4 linked regions of the Saccharomyces cerevisiae S288C genome follow. The gene in region 1 interacts genetically with each later gene. Each region holds a gene or a part of one and is shown in the gene's direction. Other genes may lie near its edges. The genes, in order: YAL064W, USV1, PTC4 and SYH1.

The links.
Region 2: mutations in YAL064W (region 1) and USV1 together harm fitness more than expected from each alone (negative genetic interaction), as found in Saccharomyces cerevisiae (one large-scale study listed by BioGRID).
Region 3: mutations in YAL064W (region 1) and PTC4 together harm fitness more than expected from each alone (negative genetic interaction), as found in Saccharomyces cerevisiae (one large-scale study listed by BioGRID).
Region 4: mutations in YAL064W (region 1) and SYH1 together harm fitness more than expected from each alone (negative genetic interaction), as found in Saccharomyces cerevisiae (one large-scale study listed by BioGRID).

The regions. Positions count from the first base shown.
Region 1 is NC_001133.9:16,706-24,433, forward strand, and holds YAL064W (uncharacterized protein), read left to right. Parts: upstream 1-4,860; coding exon 4,861-5,145; downstream 5,146-7,728. Other genes in the region: YAL063C-A (uncharacterized protein), read right to left, coding at 5,690-5,980; flocculin FLO9, read right to left, coding at 7,295-7,728.
Region 2 is NC_001148.4:111,318-120,058, forward strand, and holds USV1 (Usv1p), read left to right. Parts: upstream 1-3,994; coding exon 3,995-5,170; downstream 5,171-8,741. Other genes in the region: trifunctional fatty acid synthase subunit FAS2, read left to right, coding at 1-2,998; YPL229W (uncharacterized protein), read left to right, coding at 5,750-6,370; CET1 (polynucleotide 5'-phosphatase), read left to right, coding at 7,065-8,714. UniProt on the Saccharomyces cerevisiae protein: Transcription factor that participates in the transcriptional activation of glucose-repressed genes during exponential growth in non-fermentable carbon conditions. Also involved in salt-stress response.
Region 3 is NC_001134.8:486,699-490,259, reverse strand, and holds PTC4 (type 2C protein phosphatase PTC4), read left to right. Parts: upstream 1-1,879; coding exon 1,880-3,061; downstream 3,062-3,561. Other genes in the region: alpha,alpha-trehalose-phosphate synthase (UDP-forming) TPS1, read left to right, coding at 1-1,355.
Region 4 is NC_001148.4:352,334-357,027, reverse strand, and holds SYH1 (Syh1p), read left to right. Parts: upstream 1-1,615; coding exon 1,616-4,165; downstream 4,166-4,694. Other genes in the region: aspartate--tRNA ligase MSD1, read right to left, coding at 1-1,328.

The DNA.
Region 1 (7,728 bases):
GGTGCCTAAAATGAGGATAAGTATATGAGTTTACAACGAATATAATGCTTTTTACCTCATCATATAAAGAATAATATTAATTTAAAAGTAAAAATTAGACCTAGGTGGTAATGAGGAATGTGTCCTAATGAATTTATGTAGTTGATGCTTTTGCAGCGTTTTTTTTTTTTTGTATTAATCAAAGTGCACTACGTGACAAAAATAAAAAGTGGATGAAAACAAAAAAATCACAGATTTTCATAAAAATAACATGGTATTCTTAATCGTATATCGTAATGGATTGTCAAAAATAAAGAGAATATAGTCGGTTCAAACCACTTTGTACGTCTACAGAGTATAGTGTAGAAATTATAGTTAGGATTGTGACATCCCTTTTTCTTTAACATAATAAGTTTGCTTCAAATTAATTGATCAATTAGGATAATAACTCTCAACACCTTTATTATTTATGTTTAGAGAGTTTATGGTCAGATGGTGATTGGTATTGATACTTATACTTTTTTTCTCATTAGTATAATACGCTATATTCCATGTTTGAATAGATCTTATTTTTTGGCTGTCTAGATAATAAACATACCGTTTTTAACACACACACACCAATGAGTAGACGTTATTGCGACTGTATGCCCTTTAAGATATTCTGTTCAAAGAGATAAGGTATTTATTCGTTTTCTTGCAATTTCTTCTCATCTATCATTATCATACCAGATTGAATCTTATTTTTTAATTTTTAGTCTATTTGATGACGGCTACTGAATCTTTACATTACTTGAGCTGAGAAGTAAAATTGCATTATTCATATTAAACAAAAAAATCAATTTCCCATAAAGACAATAGCTCAACTTCATCACGTCCTTGGTTTTTACCGAGTACATATATTTGATGAATTCTGATTTGAAAATATCAATTTGTTCCTCTAGAATATTTCCACTCGCACATTCAAAAGCAGGTATTGGAACGCACAAGAAGCGATCGTCACCTTCCATTGGGGTTAGTAGCAGGATATATATTTCCATTCTATATTCCAGGTTCTCTTTCACAATTTTATTGAATGAAATACCTGAGCTACCAAATCAGTCTTAATAACACCATCTTTTACACCGGTACTACAACAAACCATACTGAGTCTGAAATTGGACTTCTGCAATGAAAAATTTAAGCCCTGATCTACGCATAATGCCCGCTATAAACCTTATTTTTTATATGGGGGTCTGGCGCTTCGGGAAAAGAGAGGAAAACTTGTAACTCAATATATCTCGATACAACATTACGTTTTGTAAATTTATCACAAAAGCCAAATGATGATATCTCTCTTGCAAGTTATCGAACATTGATTGGTAATTTGTTTGAAAATTGTTAATTTATTGAATATTTCTTTTGCAAAAGAAATAGTCTCAGCGAAAGCTGGTTACAAAATTTACATCATGAGTTTACGGGATTTGTAAATACGCTTTTTGCATAAAAATACTTTGCCGTTTCCCACCCTTGCATATTCACTTACTCCCCCCTTCATATACTCTATGTAATGATGATTAAGCTTTGGCCGCTAAGTCTCTCAATTAGTGTTGATTTTGGTTTTATTCATATGATTCTTCTTTAGTGAAGTATTGATCAATTACGTGAGTCAGCTTTTTGAAAACCCCATTTGGAAGGAATTAGGAAATTATTTTGCTTACTACGACCACTAATTTACCGCCATTTCTGGGCCTTTTTATTGACTATTTTGACCATGTGCTCGACTAGAAGAACGGCATCATAATCTGCTGGTAGAGTTAGTCTATAATGATTGTTGAAAATAAAGGCATAAGAGATATTCCACCTAAAATTCAAGTTATTGACTTTATTATCAGGATCTTAGTATCCTTTTTTGGTAAGTCATATTCAATGAACTAGGTCTCGCAAACTTTTTGTTCGAAAAGCGGTAGTGCATAGTTATGCTAACTCTGGATATATGGCATAAACCGTACAACACTAGCCCATTTTTTTGGAAGTAGTGAGGGCAGCTAGACTGTATGATGAATATTCGCCTGCATACTGAGTTTTTTGGTCCTTTTTTTTATGTGGCTGGCCTTACGATATGATGCACAATTCATAATTTGGAAGAAGGGCAGAACAATTGCATCTGTGCTTGGCTCTCAAGAACGGTGTTTGGTGCATCAAAAGTTTTCGACTGCTTATTTGGTCGGAAATATAAAAACTCGATCCTCTTATCTAAGCAGTATACATTCTTCTTTTTGAAATGAATGTACTCCGTAATATCTTCTTATTTGGCATTTTCATCCTTAACTTTTGCATGGCTCTGAACTAGTCAGATAGTTGCCCTTTTCAGCAAACCTCTTATTATTGAAAGCATGGTGTACATCCGTTATACTATTATATTATAAGAAATTGGGATGCCAATTTTTTTGCTTTTGTTTTGCCTGTTTTCCTTCTTTTCGCAAAAGTAATTGCAGATTTAATAGCAGGATATTATACCGTTGGTAAAACTTAAGGATTTTATGAACAATAGCTTCAAGTACAGCATTCATAGAACCAACTACTAAGGATGAAACTAGTATGTTTTTGTCAAAATATTTTCTTGACCTTGCTGTAACATCAAGATCTGTTTCTCTAAGATATTAAAGTTGAGTAAAAACAAAGCTGATATGAGAAAAATACGTAATTGCTCCACATAATACGTGGGTCAGACATAAAGGTAGAATACTTGATACAGAAGAGATTATTCGGTACTCTTGATGGCGTGCTTGAACTGGTGCCTCTTAACAACCGGTAATATAGTCAGATGAGTCACTACGAGTGTGTGTAGTAGCAAGTGTTTTACCTACGTGGCAGTAAGAGTAGCTCTATGGTTGTGTAATAGTGGTGCTTATTCCTAATGCTCTGAAGTCTGAAGCGGTACAGTTGGTCTGGTCTATATCATGGTCAAAGGAGCAAACATATCTTCTGAAGTGACCGCAAATAGTACTATGATGTGGTTGGCAATATAACTTAAAAGGAAATAACCACAAGGAATTGCACCCATGTACACAGTTTTTCCCGGAAATTGGGAAACCAGTACGAACATATATCAATTACTTTTACATTATCTTGATTGGAAAACTGGCACAATTGACTGTGACGTTAGTAGTATGTTGTTCTTCTCTACATCAGTTAAATATACGTGTCAACATCAACTAATCAACTTTCCCCCGTTTACCACATTGAAGCTGGGTGTGGAAGATTTATTTGAAGAAACTAAAACGTACCCTGTCATTTCCTGAGTCCCCTTTCAACTTAGTGTGAAAGCCGAACAATTATAATCCTCGGTAGACAACAGATTTATTGTACTAAAGTTACTCTTCCTGTTATCTTCCTTGATTTTACTGTTATAGCAATGACCCACCGCAATCAGGAGAGCCGCCGTATGGAATAGCATACCAAGTCATAAAATCGTCAACCTATTAACGGGGTTCAGGTTCTTTTTCAGCGTAGTAGCCCTTTAACAAGCGCTGACAAAGTTGACACTCAGAGAAAATTCAGGATTTATTGTAATCCAGCTACTCATCCTTAGATCCGCTTGCAGGCATGGTTTTTTTCACCTTGAGAGGCTATTTTGGGTAAGCCAGGAAGGCTGAAAAATCCCAAAAGGACACAGTAATAAGAAATTGTTGTTGTTGTATGATGCATTTAGAACTCAAAAGACGAGTTTCTGAAAATGCTTACAATACTCCATAGGTAACATGATTTTTTTATTAAAAAAGTATACTGTTCCTTTGGGTAAAAATTATGCAACCCTTGAGTGTCCGATGAAGATAAGACTACGAAACAATTTGCGGTAAATTTTTTCTGCTATTGACATTTACACATGCTCCAATCCATTACCCTTTCCATTCTCGTAATAAAACCTCGAACTGTTATTTCATATTTACATCTAGACGGGTATCGGCCTCAACAACTCCAAACAAAAGTAAATAGAAAAGAGCCAGACCTATCGCACCGGGTAGAGCCAGAAAATATTTTAAACTATAGTTGACGTATTCTACGGCTGTTGTTTAGGACAATACTTTTTCCTTCACAGGCTTCGAATTACGCACATGCAGAACTCCTGTAGAAACCACGAAGAAAAGTTTAATTAACTTTCAAATGCCAGAACTAAAGATTGATGAAACAGTTATACGAATTTAAGGGGAACTTGCTTTTTCCTTTTGCTTCATCATAAGCGCAATATTCGCAGCGGTGGCGTCGCGTCTTACCATTTATCGGCACATTTTTCCGAAAAGGAAGGAAAATGGCGGTGTCAAACGGTCTGGTGTGACATCTAGAAGTTCGGCATTGCAAGTTAATCTACGGGAAAAAGAAAATTTTCTTATAACCCTAATGTATAATAAGGTTTTCGGAGAAAGCAACTCACGGGGAACAATTGGTTAGAAGAGACCGTAGAAGCGCCCCACTAACCTGGAGTTGATTATCGAGGATCTTTCTCAGAAAAGCAGCTAATAAATGAGCACAGTACTCAAAAATTACTCATAGTATTATAATTACTTACTTAGTCAATATGGCTGCGCTTTTAAAATGAGTATCTTTTATTTTTTGACAAGGAAGAAAAAGATGCAAGCAAAGAGAAATTTACTAAGTACAAGCTCATTTCCAAAAATTCAGTTTGCCTGTAACAATGGGTAGCGATCTTCAACATATGGGATTATGCCTTGAATGAGATTTTTGAACGTAGAGGAAAAAATCGCAGACAGGCTTTATTGTGCTGTTTGACATAGTATACTCAGCCGTTGTGGTGTTAATGAATACTATCGATGTGTATACAAACGTACTTCAAATAAGCAATGCGAATATACTGCAACTTTTCGGCCTTTGCAACGATTTGTAATGAATCCTTTTGCATCGCTAGAAGGACAAGATAATATTTCTTCTGTTTTTTTTTTACATATGCAACAATTTGAAAGTCAGGTCAAAGACAGATTCCGGTTCCCCATATTCAGATTGGAGAGAAAAACTTTTGGCAACTCATGTTACCAAGTCGAGACGCTTAAAGTTAAGTGTCGGCCAAGACACGCAAAATCTTGTAATCTTTTAACGCTGCTCTTCAAATCACGGACGCAATCAGTACTTGTACCTAATTTTGGTTTTCTAATATTGAATAGCGAACCATAGGTCGAAAATTTAAGGCCACATAAATCCAGAGCCCGCAACTTGGATAGGTATTTACTTGATTTTTAGTTTGCTTTCAATAGTGTCGTGAAATTATAAAGTACGCCGCATATATATCTTGATTAGTTAAAAATAGCAGTGTTCAATGATGATTTGATAGGGTTCATAACTGGTACCAGCGTAGTACAATTACGATTATCCATGAACATAAAAGTGGTTTAAGTACTATATATCAGTGAAGCTTCAAAGTAAGCAAACGAGATACCAAGATCTTGTAGGACCACGATATATAAGAAGCCTAGTTCCGTTGTAGCATCACATAGAAGAGAGCGACAATGCCTCAGAAATTCTACAGCAACAGAAAGCACAGTGAGTCATTAACTGTTGGAATAAGACTCAACTGCGAGCTATCGACTAGTACTTATATTACTAGTATATTATATACGGTGTGAAAAGACGACATGAAGATTGAGGAAATGGTCCCAAGATCTAATGGACACTGAAATGCAAAAGTTGATAATGTAACATGAAAATTAAGGACAGCATATTAAACAGAAGAGGAAATAATGGTATTTTTACATAGAGATATGAATTTCCCTTTTTCTTTGTTCCTATATCTCTGATAATAAGTTATAATATACTTTGTGCATCTTATATCATGCCTTTTCAACAATGAAATATCAGCAGTTATCAAAGCATTCGCCAAATTTTTATTAATAAAACAAATGTCAGAAATATGGCCGGAATCTAATCTGAAAGTTAAAATAATTCTTACGATATTCTTATCATAAAACCAATGATTAATGTTTATGATGAGCAAAACTGTGCGAGGGCACATACATACAGTGGGACCTCATGAGATCCAGAAAAAAAGCAAAGGAAAGTTCGATCGAAACATTAGCTCTTAGATATTACAGACGTGAGGTATCTCTTCCTTGAAGAGAATCTGGCCCTGATCAAAAACTTTATTTTGATACTGTTCGAAAAGAGAAATAAGGACAACGTTCTAATTTATACAAATATAACCAGTAGGCTTTATCGTAAAATCCTCGAACTTGCTTCTCATCACAGAAGTATAAAAAGTAAAGAGGTCAAGCAAGAAACGAATAACCACCAAATTTTTTTCAATTGAAAAGCGAAACGTAATGGAAATTCACCTGCTTTGAATCGTTGTTGAATTCTTATCATCAGTCATTATTTTCCTCTTTTAAAGCTTAAGTCAACCGCATCTAAGTTTAACACTTCGTTCCCGTTTTGAAGTTTATCAAAATTCCAAAATACAGTAGTTAGGTGCTCGTGACAAACCTTTTTCCAAAGTGTCATTAGACTTCATGGAACTACTACACTTCTGGGGAACGAAAAGCTACCATTTGCTCATCATTGGATAATTTCTTTTTTTTTTTTTGATGCATCCAAACTTGGACCCCTTTTGAATGTCGAGTATGAAGTATCAATTTTAGGGCAAGTAGTTTTACAATAATTTTGGTGCACTTTTACGTCTCTGCTGATATTTTTAATACTAGTGCAAAAGAATTCGAAATAAATATAAAAGAACAAGGAGGATTAACATACTTTAAATAACTAATTATCACCATTATTTCAAGTTTCAAGTACTGCGTATGGCATGCACAGCAGATTTCTACTCAAAAACATCCTAAGCGAACCACACTAGATCTTACGTTAGTACTGCTGAAAATGGCAATAATTGTTAAAGCAAAAATTGGCGATGGTTCATTAATTGCTAAACAAAATAGGGCATTTTTCCTCGTTAATGATAAGTACTCATACTTCTGTTTCTATAAGTGTTAGTTGTAACTTATGAAATATCGATTTAAATTCGAAGTGTTGTTTGCAGGATATAAATCAAAAAAAAAAAAAAAAAAAAAAAATTAAATAAATAAATAAAATAAATACAATGATATCGATAACGGTGAAATTCTTTTCATGGATTTTTGTTGCCCAAGAAAATAACAATAACGTTTTCTTTATGATACATATATCTACTTTTTCAAAAAAGGAAGCGCAAGAATTATCATTTAGTTCAATTTGAATATTTGAAAGTTTGGAGGAGAAACAGTTAAAAAATAATTCATGTCAGCGTATATTTAGCAAAGAAAAGATACACAGATACGTAAAAAGAACGCGAATTTTATTAAATAATTGCCAGCAATAAGGACGCAATGAAGACACTTAAACCACTACCGGCCAGTAAGCTGTTGGCACTGCCAGCATACGTTGAAATTTCTAAAGAAGCTGTACTAGATCCTACCATGCTACTTGCTGGTGTGCTACGAGGCTGTTGCGACATAGTACTCAACCCGGAACTTGTTAGACTCTTGGTGTTGCCAGTTTCGGATACAGAAACAACACTACTGCTGTGACCAATCACATCGGTCGCGGAAGCCGTCTGTGTTTCAGCATGATTGAATCTTGAAATTGAAGAGGTGACTACTGTTTTCGTCTCAGCAGCTCCAGTACTGGTAGTTGTCTCAGCAGCTCCAGTATTGGTTGTTGTCTCACTGGTAGCACTGTTCATTTTAGAGCTGACAGACTGTTCATTCGTAGTCTGTGGCCTCCATGTAGAAT
Region 2 (8,741 bases), on another chromosome or scaffold:
AAAGATGGGTGTTCGTACTTTCTCTCAAAAGGAAATGGCTTTCAACTTATTGGGTCTATTGACTCCAGAAGTCGTAGAATTGTGCCAAAAATCACCTGTTATGGCTGACTTGAATGGTGGTTTGCAATTTGTTCCTGAATTGAAGGAATTCACTGCTAAATTGCGTAAAGAGTTGGTTGAAACTTCTGAAGTTAGAAAGGCAGTTTCCATCGAAACTGCTTTGGAGCATAAGGTTGTCAATGGCAATAGCGCTGATGCTGCATATGCTCAAGTCGAAATTCAACCAAGAGCTAACATTCAACTGGACTTCCCAGAATTGAAACCATACAAACAGGTTAAACAAATTGCTCCCGCTGAGCTTGAAGGTTTGTTGGATTTGGAAAGAGTTATTGTAGTTACCGGTTTTGCTGAAGTCGGCCCATGGGGTTCGGCCAGAACAAGATGGGAAATGGAAGCTTTTGGTGAATTTTCGTTGGAAGGTTGCGTTGAAATGGCCTGGATTATGGGCTTCATTTCATACCATAACGGTAATTTGAAGGGTCGTCCATACACTGGTTGGGTTGATTCCAAAACAAAAGAACCAGTTGATGACAAGGACGTTAAGGCCAAGTATGAAACATCAATCCTAGAACACAGTGGTATCAGATTGATCGAACCAGAGTTATTCAATGGTTACAACCCAGAAAAGAAGGAAATGATTCAAGAAGTCATTGTCGAAGAAGACTTGGAACCATTTGAGGCTTCGAAGGAAACTGCCGAACAATTTAAACACCAACATGGTGACAAAGTGGATATCTTCGAAATCCCAGAAACAGGAGAGTACTCTGTTAAGTTACTAAAGGGTGCCACTTTATACATTCCAAAGGCTTTGAGATTTGACCGTTTGGTTGCAGGTCAAATTCCAACTGGTTGGAATGCTAAGACTTATGGTATCTCTGATGATATCATTTCTCAGGTTGACCCAATCACATTATTCGTTTTGGTCTCTGTTGTGGAAGCATTTATTGCATCTGGTATCACCGACCCATACGAAATGTACAAATACGTACATGTTTCTGAGGTTGGTAACTGTTCTGGTTCTGGTATGGGTGGTGTTTCTGCCTTACGTGGTATGTTTAAGGACCGTTTCAAGGATGAGCCTGTCCAAAATGATATTTTACAAGAATCATTTATCAACACCATGTCCGCTTGGGTTAATATGTTGTTGATTTCCTCATCTGGTCCAATCAAGACACCTGTTGGTGCCTGTGCCACATCCGTGGAATCTGTTGACATTGGTGTAGAAACCATCTTGTCTGGTAAGGCTAGAATCTGTATTGTCGGTGGTTACGATGATTTCCAAGAAGAAGGCTCCTTTGAGTTCGGTAACATGAAGGCCACTTCCAACACTTTGGAAGAATTTGAACATGGTCGTACCCCAGCGGAAATGTCCAGACCTGCCACCACTACCCGTAACGGTTTTATGGAAGCTCAAGGTGCTGGTATTCAAATCATCATGCAAGCTGATTTAGCTTTGAAGATGGGTGTGCCAATTTACGGTATTGTTGCCATGGCTGCTACCGCCACCGATAAGATTGGTAGATCTGTGCCAGCTCCAGGTAAGGGTATTTTAACCACTGCTCGTGAACACCACTCCAGTGTTAAGTATGCTTCACCAAACTTGAACATGAAGTACAGAAAGCGCCAATTGGTTACTCGTGAAGCTCAGATTAAAGATTGGGTAGAAAACGAATTGGAAGCTTTGAAGTTGGAGGCCGAAGAAATTCCAAGCGAAGACCAAAACGAGTTCTTACTTGAACGTACCAGAGAAATCCACAACGAAGCTGAAAGTCAATTGAGAGCTGCACAACAACAATGGGGTAACGACTTCTACAAGAGGGACCCACGTATTGCTCCATTGAGAGGAGCACTGGCTACTTACGGTTTAACTATTGATGACTTGGGTGTCGCTTCATTCCACGGTACATCCACAAAGGCTAATGACAAGAACGAATCTGCCACAATTAATGAAATGATGAAGCATTTGGGTAGATCTGAAGGTAATCCCGTCATTGGTGTTTTCCAAAAGTTCTTGACTGGTCATCCAAAGGGTGCTGCTGGTGCATGGATGATGAATGGTGCTTTGCAAATTCTAAACAGTGGTATTATTCCAGGTAACCGTAACGCTGATAACGTGGATAAGATCTTGGAGCAATTTGAATACGTCTTGTACCCATCCAAGACTTTAAAGACCGACGGTGTCAGAGCCGTGTCCATCACTTCTTTCGGTTTTGGTCAAAAGGGTGGTCAAGCTATTGTGGTTCATCCAGACTACTTATACGGTGCTATCACTGAAGACAGATACAACGAGTATGTCGCCAAGGTTAGTGCCAGAGAGAAAAGTGCCTACAAATTCTTCCATAATGGTATGATCTACAACAAGTTGTTCGTAAGTAAAGAGCATGCTCCATACACTGATGAATTGGAAGAGGATGTTTACTTGGACCCATTAGCCCGTGTATCTAAGGATAAGAAATCAGGCTCCTTGACTTTCAACTCTAAAAACATCCAAAGCAAGGACAGTTACATCAATGCTAACACCATTGAAACTGCCAAGATGATTGAAAACATGACCAAGGAGAAAGTCTCTAACGGTGGCGTCGGTGTAGATGTTGAATTAATCACTAGCATCAACGTTGAAAATGATACTTTTATCGAGCGCAATTTCACCCCGCAAGAAATAGAGTACTGCAGCGCGCAGCCTAGTGTGCAAAGCTCTTTCGCTGGGACATGGTCCGCCAAAGAGGCTGTTTTCAAGTCCTTAGGCGTCAAGTCCTTAGGCGGTGGTGCTGCATTGAAAGACATCGAAATCGTACGCGTTAACAAAAACGCTCCAGCCGTTGAACTGCACGGTAACGCCAAAAAGGCTGCCGAAGAAGCTGGTGTTACCGATGTGAAGGTATCTATTTCTCACGATGACCTCCAAGCTGTCGCGGTCGCCGTTTCTACTAAGAAATAGAGAGAGCACTACGTAGTCCCTCTTTTAATATGTAACGTGTCGCTTCTATTTATCAGACATAATAGTAATTACTTTGTTATTTTTCTATCGTTTCCTTACTTTAGCCTCTGATTTCGATCTGGCCTAATCATTGTGTACGTCTATAATCATATGGCCCTGAGCGTACACACCGTTCAATTCTTCTATTTGGTCGGCCCACACAAATTCGCGCGGGGGCATATTGACGCGTGGAAGAATAGAAGTCCGCGTAGCAGCTCTGGGGTAATTAGGCTTTTACGATATCGGCTGGCCCAGCACCGGTTTTTATTCCTCCCGTGGTTGTTGTCTCTACCGTGAGGAGGGGAAAGGGTCAGGGACGGCCGGTAGTTATGTTGTCTCAACGATTACTGCCATCTATTGTTTACACCAATCGCGTGGGGCAAGGGGCTGGAAGGCTGTGGTGTACAGAATAGGGTCTAATACCCGATGCGCGACGCTCCTGCGACTGGTTGTGTGAGCCACCCCTTGATCGCCTCTGCCAAATACTCAGGGAAGAGAAAAATCGCGAAGGTGGACGAGTGCCCTTAAAGAACCAGCATCCTCGATCGCCGCTGCCGTTCGCCCTGGCTTAGCGGTGGGAAGCATCCTTTGGCTTTCGAATTCTCCGCCGTTGAGTCCCCCTAAGGGCCTTATTTATCCCCTCTATTTTTTTTTAGAAAATGTTTTCTTTTTCAAGATTTGTTTGCTCCTTCACGGCTTCCCCCTTAACCGTTCAACAGTCTTCCGTATATAACAATCTCAATCCACTCTTATTGCCTATAATTTTGATTAATTCTTATTCATCCCGGCAGATAAAGTTTCGTCTTGTTTTGAAAGAGACAGGAGTTCTTGGCTGCAGTATTTTGCAACAGCTTCATTAACCATGTATGTAAAGAAAAAATCTGGAGCGACTTACTGGCTTAGCTTTTTTTACTAACACATAAATAATACTGTGATAAGATAAGAAAAAAACACGAAATGGAAAATACCACGAATCGTAATACTGCAGGCGTTCTTACGAGCAGCAATGGTAACTTTGCCACCAATAGTGTAGCGGCATCAACTCCGAAGAGGTCCAAAAGTGCTCGAAGGAAAACGTTCAAATGCACCGGATATGACGGTTGTACGATGTCCTTCACTAGAGCGGAACATCTTGCACGTCATATAAGAAAGCACACTGGTGAAAAGCCGTTCCAGTGTCCTGCATGTTTGAAATTCTTCAGTAGAGTTGATAATTTGAAACAGCATCGGGAATCGGTCCATGCACATAAAAACCACCATTCTACCAGCTCGCACCAGCGTAAGCCTTCCTCTTCATCTTTATCCTCCTCTTCTTCTGCATCTTCTTCGTCTTCTGCTTCATCATCTACATCATATAGTGATCCTTACAGGAAAACTAATATTAATAGCGGGAACATGCCGATGATGGCAGAAAACGAAAAAGCGCCCCAAATAATACATTCTTCGCCGGAGTTCATTACTAGCACGAGAAGCATCCCACCCATCTCTCCAAGGTCCATTTATAATACCCAACGACAGCAACAACACCAACAACAACAGCATCAACAGGCTCCCTATTATTTTCCTTCCCATCCAATCACTGATAGTTACTACCAGTATCCTCTTCCCAGTAATAATAACACCATCAATTATTTACCATCAGTAGATGTGCAGTATCCTTTGAATGTGAGCCCCTCCTCAACGAGCCATCCGGCCTCTGAGGTAATCATATCGTCCTTTCCTCCGAGGTCCATGCCAAGTACTTCCTTCAAATATAAAGATTCTGCCGACTTTCAAGCACGGACAACTATGAACAAATACAATATTAGACCAAGCAATATCAATGTCAATACTAGTAATATCAATAACCATCTTGATTCATTCTCCCCGCCGTTTTCTCCGTCAACGACAGTTGCTGAAGCAAAACCAATTATTTTACCACAGTATCAGCAGGCATTTAGCCAACCACCAAATGGAAATAAAAACAATAATATGTCTTCCTCGAAGAATGGCGGCAAAGGGGGAGAAAATTTCAAGAATACTGATGATCGCAATGATAATAATAACAAAAAGAGGTCGGAAACTTTATCAGAGTCTGATATTTCGGTCAACACCAATAAGAAAAGGCTTAGTGTTGATTACATATTGACTTGATCGAGGCAATCTGATCTAAGTTTCAAATATTCCGTAGAGTATAAATATCTTACAACTAATATAATTCTTAATATGCGCAAACAAATTATGGTGCGCATCTTTTTTTATTTTTATGTTTTGTTCCATACTAAATGCAGTTTATAAAATTTTTCAAATGAGTCAAGCTATGTATAATCAGTGCTACAAAAATGATAAGATGCAATTGCAAGAAAAAATCCCTTGCATAAAGGGCTTTCTGACCTCTTGCGTTGATCAACGAGAAATAACCGCAAAACTTAATTTTAAACTCCCGCGTCTGCTTTACACAGCCCACAGTAGCATCAAAAACTACGATGTAACACTAACGGTGGATTGTGAATACGGAACGAACAATCCTGCATCTTGACTTCAAAACTTGATCATATACACCTATACCGCCATGGTTATCTCGCCCTTACGCTCACCCGGACCCCCGTTAATTGCAATAATAAGAAAAAGAAAAGAAAGAAGCTTTTTATCTCATTTCACTGACAAGATGACGCTTTTTCCGATTTTAGCAGATAAACTATCACATATAACCACTTTTTTATATTACATGAAATGATGCCCTACAACACCCCTCCAAATATCCAAGAACCTATGAACTTCGCAAGCAGCAACCCCTTTGGTATTATTCCAGATGCGCTCAGTTTCCAGAATTTCAAATATGATCGTCTTCAGCAGCAGCAACAGCAGCAGCAACAGCAGCAACAAAATCGCACTGCGTCATCGTTACAGCAGCCGCAACAGCAACAACCAATAAGCCCGCCTTTGTTTTTAGTAGGGGCCGGTACCAGCGAAAACTCAAACCTTAACAAGAATGCCAACACTAGTACTATCCCTCCTTTACTCTTTAGCAGATCGTCTCAGCATTATGTTGTCCCAGATATAGACCACTCCTCCATAATATACAAGAACAACATCTGCAAATCTTTCAAAGATGACTTATTTTTCTGTCCAAGATCTTTACTTTCTCTCGAAGAACAACAAGCATGCGAGAAAATGGATAGGCTGACCGCTGAACAAATGTCATTGTATCATCAGAACACGCAATCCAGTTCTAATCCTGGTTCTATGTCTTCTTCACCTCCAAATTCTGCTTCTTCTATATTCAACTCTAGGCCGAAGTTCAATCCTTATACATCTCAAAGTTTTAATCCTTTGGAAAGTGTTCAAGAATGATCGCGATATGGACAAACACGTTGTTTTGATTTCTTTTTTGCATATTCCTCATTTGAACAAATCTTGTGTCCATGTTATGTTACGTTATGTTATATTATGTCAAGCCGTTTCATTTCCTACTTATTTTTAATTATCGGTTTCTTCTATTCATGTAGTTCACTATTCAATTAGTATATGTAGATAAAAGGAGAAGGGTTTTATCTGCAAACAGACGCAAGACGTATGTACTAAGCACTAAATACTCATATAACCATATTCTTTCAAAAATACATGCCATTTTTCTGTTTCATAATAATCCTGGAGGCTACAAGTATGGTGATATAATAAATCTTGAACCTTGTTTTACTGGAACTCCTAAAGTCAAGCCATACATAATGCCAGAAACAGGACCTGCGTAGATAACATATAACATGTACCAGTCATGATTACCCAACGTGCCGTTACAAATGATATATAGACCTACATTTTAGTTAGTTTCGTCGTAAGTTATGGTAATAAAGGAAAAGTCCTCTAATGAATCTATAATATAGGTTCACACAAATAAGAGTGATAATTAAAAGCGTATTCGACACTGAAAGATCTGCTGGGAATACTATACTGATATTTCCAAAATATCCCTTATAAATTGAATCTGGAATAGCACTTCTTTTTTTAAAAAACCTTGAATTGTTGGTAGCATTTCTATCCTCCCACTATGAGTTACACTGACAACCCTCCTCAAACAAAAAGAGCTTTATCGTTAGACGATCTGGTGAATCACGATGAAAATGAAAAGGTTAAATTACAAAAATTAAGTGAGGCGGCTAATGGCAGCAGACCTTTTGCCGAAAATTTAGAATCTGATATAAATCAAACGGAAACGGGCCAAGCTGCTCCGATTGACAATTACAAGGAGAGTACTGGTCATGGCTCGCACTCACAAAAACCTAAATCACGCAAGTCATCTAATGATGATGAAGAAACCGATACGGATGACGAAATGGGTGCAAGTGGAGAAATTAATTTTGATTCAGAAATGGACTTTGACTATGATAAACAACATAGAAATTTACTATCCAACGGATCACCTCCTATGAATGATGGTAGTGATGCCAATGCGAAGTTAGAAAAGCCTTCTGATGATTCAATTCATCAGAATAGCAAGAGTGATGAAGAACAGAGAATACCGAAACAAGGTAATGAAGGGAACATTGCCAGCAACTATATAACCCAAGTACCTCTGCAAAAGCAGAAGCAAACTGAGAAGAAGATAGCGGGAAATGCAGTAGGAAGCGTGGTCAAGAAGGAAGAAGAAGCGAATGCAGCTGTAGATAATATTTTTGAAGAGAAAGCTACTTTACAATCAAAAAAGAATAATATCAAGAGAGATTTGGAGGTTCTGAATGAAATATCTGCGTCTTCCAAGCCCAGTAAGTACAGGAATGTTCCAATTTGGGCACAAAAATGGAAACCTACTATCAAAGCTCTTCAAAGTATAAATGTGAAAGATCTCAAAATTGACCCATCTTTTTTAAACATTATTCCCGATGATGACTTAACAAAGTCAGTACAGGACTGGGTTTATGCTACAATATACTCAATTGCTCCTGAACTAAGATCCTTCATTGAGTTAGAAATGAAATTTGGTGTTATTATTGATGCGAAAGGCCCAGATCGTGTAAATCCACCAGTTTCTTCACAATGTGTTTTCACTGAGCTTGATGCCCATCTAACGCCTAATATTGATGCATCTTTGTTCAAAGAGTTGAGCAAATATATTCGTGGTATTAGCGAAGTCACTGAAAATACAGGTAAATTCAGTATTATTGAATCCCAGACAAGAGATTCCGTCTATAGAGTCGGACTATCCACGCAAAGACCAAGGTTTTTGAGAATGAGTACAGATATTAAGACTGGGAGGGTAGGACAATTTATAGAGAAAAGACATGTAGCCCAACTACTATTATATTCACCAAAAGATAGTTACGACGTTAAAATCTCCCTAAACTTGGAATTACCTGTACCTGACAACGATCCGCCAGAAAAATATAAATCTCAAAGCCCAATTAGTGAAAGGACGAAAGACCGTGTTAGTTACATTCATAATGATTCCTGTACCAGAATTGATATTACAAAAGTCGAAAATCATAACCAAAATTCAAAAAGTAGACAATCAGAGACCACTCACGAAGTGGAACTAGAAATCAACACGCCTGCACTGTTAAACGCCTTTGATAACATAACGAACGATAGTAAAGAATATGCATCTCTTATTAGAACGTTTCTGAATAATGGTACAATTATTAGAAGAAAGTTATCGTCTTTATCATATGAAATTTTTGAAGGTTCAAAGAAAGTCATGTAATATTTGAATCATTTCAAAAAAAAATAA
Region 3 (3,561 bases), on another chromosome or scaffold:
GAGGGCTGGTCACGGCGTTGGAAGGGTTGAAGAAGACGTACACTTTCAAGTGGTTCGGATGGCCTGGGCTAGAGATTCCTGACGATGAGAAGGATCAGGTGAGGAAGGACTTGCTGGAAAAGTTTAATGCCGTACCCATCTTCCTGAGCGATGAAATCGCAGACTTACACTACAACGGGTTCAGTAATTCTATTCTATGGCCGTTATTCCATTACCATCCTGGTGAGATCAATTTCGACGAGAATGCGTGGTTGGCATACAACGAGGCAAACCAGACGTTCACCAACGAGATTGCTAAGACTATGAACCATAACGATTTAATCTGGGTGCATGATTACCATTTGATGTTGGTTCCGGAAATGTTGAGAGTCAAGATTCACGAGAAGCAACTGCAAAACGTTAAGGTCGGGTGGTTCCTGCACACACCATTCCCTTCGAGTGAAATTTACAGAATCTTACCTGTCAGACAAGAGATTTTGAAGGGTGTTTTGAGTTGTGATTTAGTCGGGTTCCACACATACGATTATGCAAGACATTTCTTGTCTTCCGTGCAAAGAGTGCTTAACGTGAACACATTGCCTAATGGGGTGGAATACCAGGGCAGATTCGTTAACGTAGGGGCCTTCCCTATCGGTATCGACGTGGACAAGTTCACCGATGGGTTGAAAAAGGAATCCGTACAAAAGAGAATCCAACAATTGAAGGAAACTTTCAAGGGCTGCAAGATCATAGTTGGTGTCGACAGGCTGGATTACATCAAAGGTGTGCCTCAGAAGTTGCACGCCATGGAAGTGTTTCTGAACGAGCATCCAGAATGGAGGGGCAAGGTTGTTCTGGTACAGGTTGCAGTGCCAAGTCGTGGAGATGTGGAAGAGTACCAATATTTAAGATCTGTGGTCAATGAGTTGGTCGGTAGAATCAACGGTCAGTTCGGTACTGTGGAATTCGTCCCCATCCATTTCATGCACAAGTCTATACCATTTGAAGAGCTGATTTCGTTATATGCTGTGAGCGATGTTTGTTTGGTCTCGTCCACCCGTGATGGTATGAACTTGGTTTCCTACGAATATATTGCTTGCCAAGAAGAAAAGAAAGGTTCCTTAATCCTGAGTGAGTTCACAGGTGCCGCACAATCCTTGAATGGTGCTATTATTGTAAATCCTTGGAACACCGATGATCTTTCTGATGCCATCAACGAGGCCTTGACTTTGCCCGATGTAAAGAAAGAAGTTAACTGGGAAAAACTTTACAAATACATCTCTAAATACACTTCTGCCTTCTGGGGTGAAAATTTCGTCCATGAATTATACAGTACATCATCAAGCTCAACAAGCTCCTCTGCCACCAAAAACTGATGAACCCGATGCAAATGAGACGATCGTCTATTCCTGGTCCGGTTTTCTCTGCCCTCTCTTCTATTCACTTTTTTTATACTTTATATAAAATTATATAAATGACATAACTGAAACGCCACACGTCCTCTCCTATTCGTTAACGCCTGTCTGTAGCGCTGTTACTGAAGCTGCGCAAGTAGTTTTTTCACCGTATAGGCCCTCTTTTTCTCTCTCTTTCTTTCTCTCCCGCGCTGATCTCTTCTTCGAAACATCATGAATAAAAAGAAAAAGGAAATCAAGAAAAAAAAGCCATAATTTATCCCACATTTTTTTTTATTGTCGCTGTTCACACCGCATAACGAAGATATTGGCTACATAAACAATTGACATTGGATCTCTAGTTTTACGTTGTTTTCAACTGCATCTTTTTCTTCTTTCTTAGCACGGAGCCCTTACGTCTTCTTTTCTATCCCATCGCCCTTTTTGCCTCTATTCTCCCCTATATAGCCATTTTAGAAAGTAACTTCAATTTGAAGAAGACAAAAATGGGTCAATTGCTTTCCCATCCGTTGACGGAGAAGACCATAGAATATAATGAATATAAAAACAACCAGGCGTCAACTGGTATTGTTCCACGATTTTACAATTGTGTGGGGTCCATGCAAGGCTATCGTTTGACTCAGGAAGATGCACATCTAATTAGAAATGAAAACTCTGTTGTGTACGTACGATTTTTCAACCCATTCATAGACAAATACGAAACCCTGTCATTGAACGTCTTCGCAGTATTCGATGGTCATGGTGGAGATGATTGTTCGAAATTTCTAAGCGGCGGCCGCCACCATCGCGATGGTAACGGCAGTAGCAACGGTAATGGTGAACCCAACGCTGGCCTGATCAAATGGATTGCGTATAGTTTCGAAAACCACCATTACACATCTACAACTAATAACGACTCATCAAAATTTAAAAGATCCTTCAATACGTTGGAAGGACTTGTTTCTCAAATTTTTAAAGACGCTTTCATATTGCAAGATGAAGAGTTATATCGACATTTTGCCAACAGTTCGTGTGGATCTACAGCAGTAGTAGCATGCATCATAAACGAGGAATCACTGTATGTGGCTAACTGTGGTGATTCGCGATGTATTCTTTCCTCCAAATCGAATGGCATAAAGACGATGTCTTTCGATCATAAGCCACAACACATAGGAGAATTGATACGTATAAACGATAATGGTGGTACTGTCTCTCTTGGAAGAGTGGGTGGAGTACTGGCTCTCAGTAGGGCATTTAGTGATTTCCAATTCAAGAGAGGTGTCACTTATCCACATAGAAGGACAAAACTAACAAATATTACCCAGAATTTAACTTATGGAACCCCACCACAAGAAGCACAAGTTACCGTTGAACCAGACGTATTGATGCACAAGATTGACTATTCTAAAGATGAGTTTTTAGTACTGGCTTGCGACGGTATATGGGATATTTATAACAACAAACAGTTAATTCACTTTATAAAGTATCACCTGGTATCAGGGACGAAGTTGGATACAATAATAACAAAATTGTTGGACCACGGGATAGCGCAGGCAAATAGCAATACTGGTGTCGGCTTTGACAATATGACTGCCATCATTGTAGTGCTAAACCGGAAAGGCGAAACATTGCAAGACTGGTTTAATAAAATGAAGACCCGTTTGGAAAGAGAAAGGGGCCTAGTGTAAGGAAAAAAAATTATTTTTCTTCTTCCTTTTTCTCATACATATCTGAACGTGTGGTTAATGTGTCTGTGTATTAGTGTATAGGATCAACTGCTTGGGAGATGAAATAACAAAAGTACCTTAAAACGACCTCATTATCACATTTTTTTTTTTACTTTATTATTTTATTGTGCTTTTTAGTGTTGTAGAAAACCAAAGCAATCCTTTTAAATGAATTTTTATATACATACGTGTATATGAATATGAATATGAGTTTACCCCATCTTTAAGCTCTGCTGTGTTTTGGAAATAAATTCACATATTCATGTTTAGTTTTCCTTTTACATAATTTGGTCTTAGTACAGAGAAGTCCTCTTCTTCGCTTCTTCGCTTTTGGTCTTTCTGAAAAAGATCGATAAATAACATCCTAAAGACAGGAACTGAAAGACAACACAGAAAAGGTATACCAAGGGAAAAACATAATTAATCTCTATAGCTTTCAAGAGCGAAAATATCTTCCAAAT
Region 4 (4,694 bases), on another chromosome or scaffold:
CTCGTACAACCGCATACAATGTCACCTTTTTTCAGTTTCAGAAATTTGGTTATTAGATGTGGGTTTTCAAACGTGGCAATTGCATGAAAATTCTCAAACCAATTTGAATTAGCTTGTTCGTCATTTTCAATTGGTAGCACTATTGGAACTCTATAATTGTAATTACTGTTATTTGTCAGAAACGACCATCGTTCTTTGTACTCTTCCATATTTGAAAAGGCACTTCTTAGAATAATTACTTCAAAAACGGGAAATTTTTTGTTCAAATGACTAAAGGCATTGAACTCGCCTAAATTGATAATCTTCAAATCTGGCGCTCTCAAATCTGGCTTGTCAATACCATATGAGGTCATGGCTTGTTCGTAGGTCATACGAAAGATAGATACTGTGCCGTTTTCCTTTTTCGCAGGCACTAATGTACCCTTACTGTCTAAAGTCAATAATCCTCGTTTTTTGGAAAATTTACTCCATACCCCAGAAACTGTCTTTTCTATGATTTTCATGACATCTTCAGAATTAGCAAAGGCCATTTCCATATCAACCTGTGTAAACTCAGGCTGCCTGTCTGCTCTTAAATCTTCATCTCTAAAGCACCTTGCCATTTGATAATATTTGTTGACACCACTAGCCATTAAGAGTTGCTTGTATTGTTGAGGGCTCTGATCTAGAGCATAAAACGATGGTTTACCATCGGATCTCTTTGTCCTTGTTGGAACCAGAAACTCTCTTGCGCCTTCTGGGGTAGCTTTAAATAACATTGGGGTCTCGACCTCCGTAAAATCAAAATTGTTGAAGGAGTTTCTTATTTCCTTAGAGATAGATGACCTCTTCTTTAAAAAATCTTGATATTTGGGATTTCTCAATTGCAAATAGCGGAACTCAGGTGGGTATATGGCTGACAATTTAAAATCCTGCATTTGCGCTGGTTTTTTATTAGATGCATTTAACACAGTAATATCCTCCAATTGCACTTCGTACTCATCTGCGTCCTCATTTGATAGCTTCCTCTTCAAAGAGAGTATACCTACGGCTTGAACCACATCCTCTAAAGTAAAGCCTTTCAACAACGATTTGTTATCAACCAACTGGATAATGTCACCGTTAGAGTCCCTTAAAAGTCCGAAGATCAAATTTTTCCCAACTCTTTTTGGCTTCTGCTCTATCCATCCATTGAGTACTATTTTCTGGCCGCTAGACAGTCCTTTTAACTGTTTGATGGTCGAGGTGTCCTTCCTAAAGAGAAATTTTTTCTTAATAGCATTGGCTTCTGGAAAGTCTGCCAACCGTCTAGTGATTGTCTGCAAGCACACCCTGGAACGGGCCAACATGATTAAAACTTGTAATGTTTAGTCTTTTCAAAAAAGCATGCACTCAACTGAATCAAAATGTTAAGAAAACATGAATAATGAATAAATGAGGCATTCAATGCCATCTATTACTTCCTACTCCCATTTTCACCTTATTATTGTACTTTGGTACGGCAGTAGCTTTCTGAAATTTCATCTACCAAACTTTGCAAGCACGAAAAAGAAAGCAAAACATTTCATTTACCATGGACGCATGGAGAAGGTCGATTTTGCCACAGCTTGCACAAGATTGGCAGTGGCAGTAAGTGATGAATCCTATCAACTCTCTAGCGTTTGACCTTCACAGTGTTAAACTTGCAGACGCGAACTCAGACACTGCTGCATTATCAAATAGCAATACTCCAACCATGAACAATGCGGCTCTTTTGCAAAGGCCCTCCTCCATTATGGATTCTATTGGCGTCCAAAGAGTTCCATCTCCTTTTGTGCCAGGGAGTAATGCGATTAGTGGAGCCAGTACTGTTCCCTTCAATGCATATGACGCTGAAATTACTGGATCTCCGCTACAAATATCTGCTAATCAGGAAAACAATAGTGCATTTAGTGCAGCATCATCCAACCTGCATATGAACGCCAGCAGCCCTTCCGTTCTCAATAAACCCTCGAGCACATTTCCAAATGTAGCTCCTTATCTCTACAACGCAACAGGGCCTGCCCCCAACGTTGGTAATCAACCCCCACCACCGGGGATAGAATCTCAGTGGAAATACATTGACTCTAATGGTAACATTCAGGGGCCTTTTGGTACCAATAATATGTCACAGTGGTATCAAGGAGGTTATTTTACTCCAACTTTGCAAATCTGTAGATTAGCAACATCTCCTGAGCCATTTGGTGTAAATGATCGGTTTATTAGACTAGGTGAATTGACTACTCTGGTGAATAATTATCAAGACCCTTTTGTCGCCTTTGATTTCATTGTTATTAGAGCTTTGAATGCTGTTCCACTTGTTGCACCAACTTCATCAGAAAAGCAAAAAGTTGAGTCAAGAGATTTGATACCTGTTGCTGATGTGCATAGTGATGATTTTACGTATGAAGAAATCCTTGGCCTTAAATTTGAAGATGGAAGTTACTATCATGAAACTCAGGTTTGGGTTCCGGTTGACGGCCGTCATATCACAAAGGTAGATCGCATACCAAAGATATCTGCATATACCGCTCCTCTATCCACGACTTCTAGTAGATCTAATAAAACCACTTCTTCCCATGAAGAGAAGGTTCCTTCCCACGAGGAAGCTTCTCCAGAGGAGCAAGAGGTTTTTTCAGAAGAGGGCAGAACTGTTTCTAACATAACAAATGAAGAGGAATCTATTGTCAAAAATCCTACTAAGCAGGAGGAAGAATCTCGAGGAAGCGAGAAAGAGCAAAATATATTGGATCAAGTTCAACCAGAGATTGAAGAGGTAGACCGTAAGGATGTAATATCCACTGCTGATGAGCCGAAAAGCAAAGATACGCCGCAAATGACTTCTGAAGAGCAGAAAAGGTTTGCAAAGGCAGAACTGATGGCACAAAAATTATTGGAAGAACAACAAAGACAAGAAGAAGAAAAAAAGAGAAGAGAAGAACAGCGCAAATTAAAGAAGGAGAAAAAATTGAAGCAAAAGCAGAAAAAGGAAGAAGAGAAGTTAAAAAAGAAGAAGAAGGAAGAAGGAAAATTAGAGAAAGAAAAGCAAAAAGAATTGCTAAATAACATTTTAACTGGAGATACAGAAACTCCATCTTCCGAAAACACCGCAACTTCCATAACCACTAATTTGGCGCCTTGGGCTAACAAGAAACCCGAGGGTGCTGTTTATAATCAGATTTCATCTGCTCTTGAAGATTTGAAGAAGGAGAACTCGTCCAAGAAAGAAAAAAAACCTAATCGTACTCAGTTAGATCGTGAGCAGGCATTAAAACTACAGAAAGAAATATTAAGCTCGGCGCAAATTCCGAAAACTCAAACTGGTTCTGCCTGGGGTATAAAGCCACAGCAACCGATCAAAGTTGATATTAAAGGAGAATTGATGAAAGACAGTACCAAAATTAACAGTCAGTCTAAAATTAACAAGGCCAACAATGGTGATATTAAACCAGATTCCACTTTTATTGAAGAGCAGAAAAAGCTGTGGGAACAAGTTCAAAAGAAAACAAAGAAATTCAACCGCGCTTCTTCACTCGATGATTTCATTTCAAGAACGCCTTCCCCATCTTCTTCGGCATTGAACTCTTCGAATACTAGCAATGCGTGGACCACGGTTTCTTCTAAGAGCACAACCCACATCGCTTCCACCATGCCTGTCGCTGGTAACCAGTCAAAGTCATATATCAGTTTGGACACACTGCGTTCTTCTGGGGGGTTATCTACCGCAACAAAAACTAAAATGAGCGATAAGAGTAAACAAATTGGCTCATCCACTAGTATCCCGACTTTAAAGGCCCGTCAAGTTAAACCGTCTCGCATCCCTGCCTATCCCGGTAACGCTTCTGTCTCTAAGCGTCAAGAATTTTTGAGATGGTGCCGATCCCAATTAAAACTAAATACGGGTGTTCAGCCCGATAATGTTTTAGAAATGCTACTTAGCTTGCCCCCAGGTTCAGAATCCAAGGAAATTATCGCAGATACCATATATTCCTACAGTTCAACAATGGACGGTAGGAGATTTGCCACTGATTTCATCAAAAAACGTCTAGAATGCGAAGAAGAAATTAATGACCCCTTGAGCTGGAGTGAAGTATTAGCTATGCCTGAAGGCAGTTCCGAAGACTGGGAATTTCAAGTTGTTGGTAAAAAGAAAGGAAAAAGATTTTGAAGCCTTTTTGTTCCATAGTAGTTGTTTACTACGCGTGTATATCTTCTATTCAATGTATTAACTAGTATAACTCCCATCTATTTGTATAATTAATTGAAATTAAATATCTTGATAACTAATAACAGTACTAAGAACGCTACAATAATATGTTAGCGTGTGCAAACTACCTATAGCTAGTATATCGATTAAATGTTTGAAGCCACATGAATTGAGAAAGGTAAGCACATTTTTCAAATTGCAGAACGTATCATTTAGCGAATCTATCGTCTGTTTGAAGGTTCTTAATGGAGATGAGAAGTGTTTAAGTTGGTTGAGCGCATAATCATTTGTTACGTGTATTTCTTTTCTTTTTTTCTTTTTTTTTTTCGAAGGCAATGAAAAAAGAAATTTAACGAAGATGATTCTAGAAGATTCCTTTTCCAAAGAGCACTACTTGTCAATATAACCTTAGTGATAAAAGTTACTGTCCATTTTAAACTCCCTCTGTCTTGATTTTTCTTCTTATAACTCAGTTAGTTCTGATTCTTAT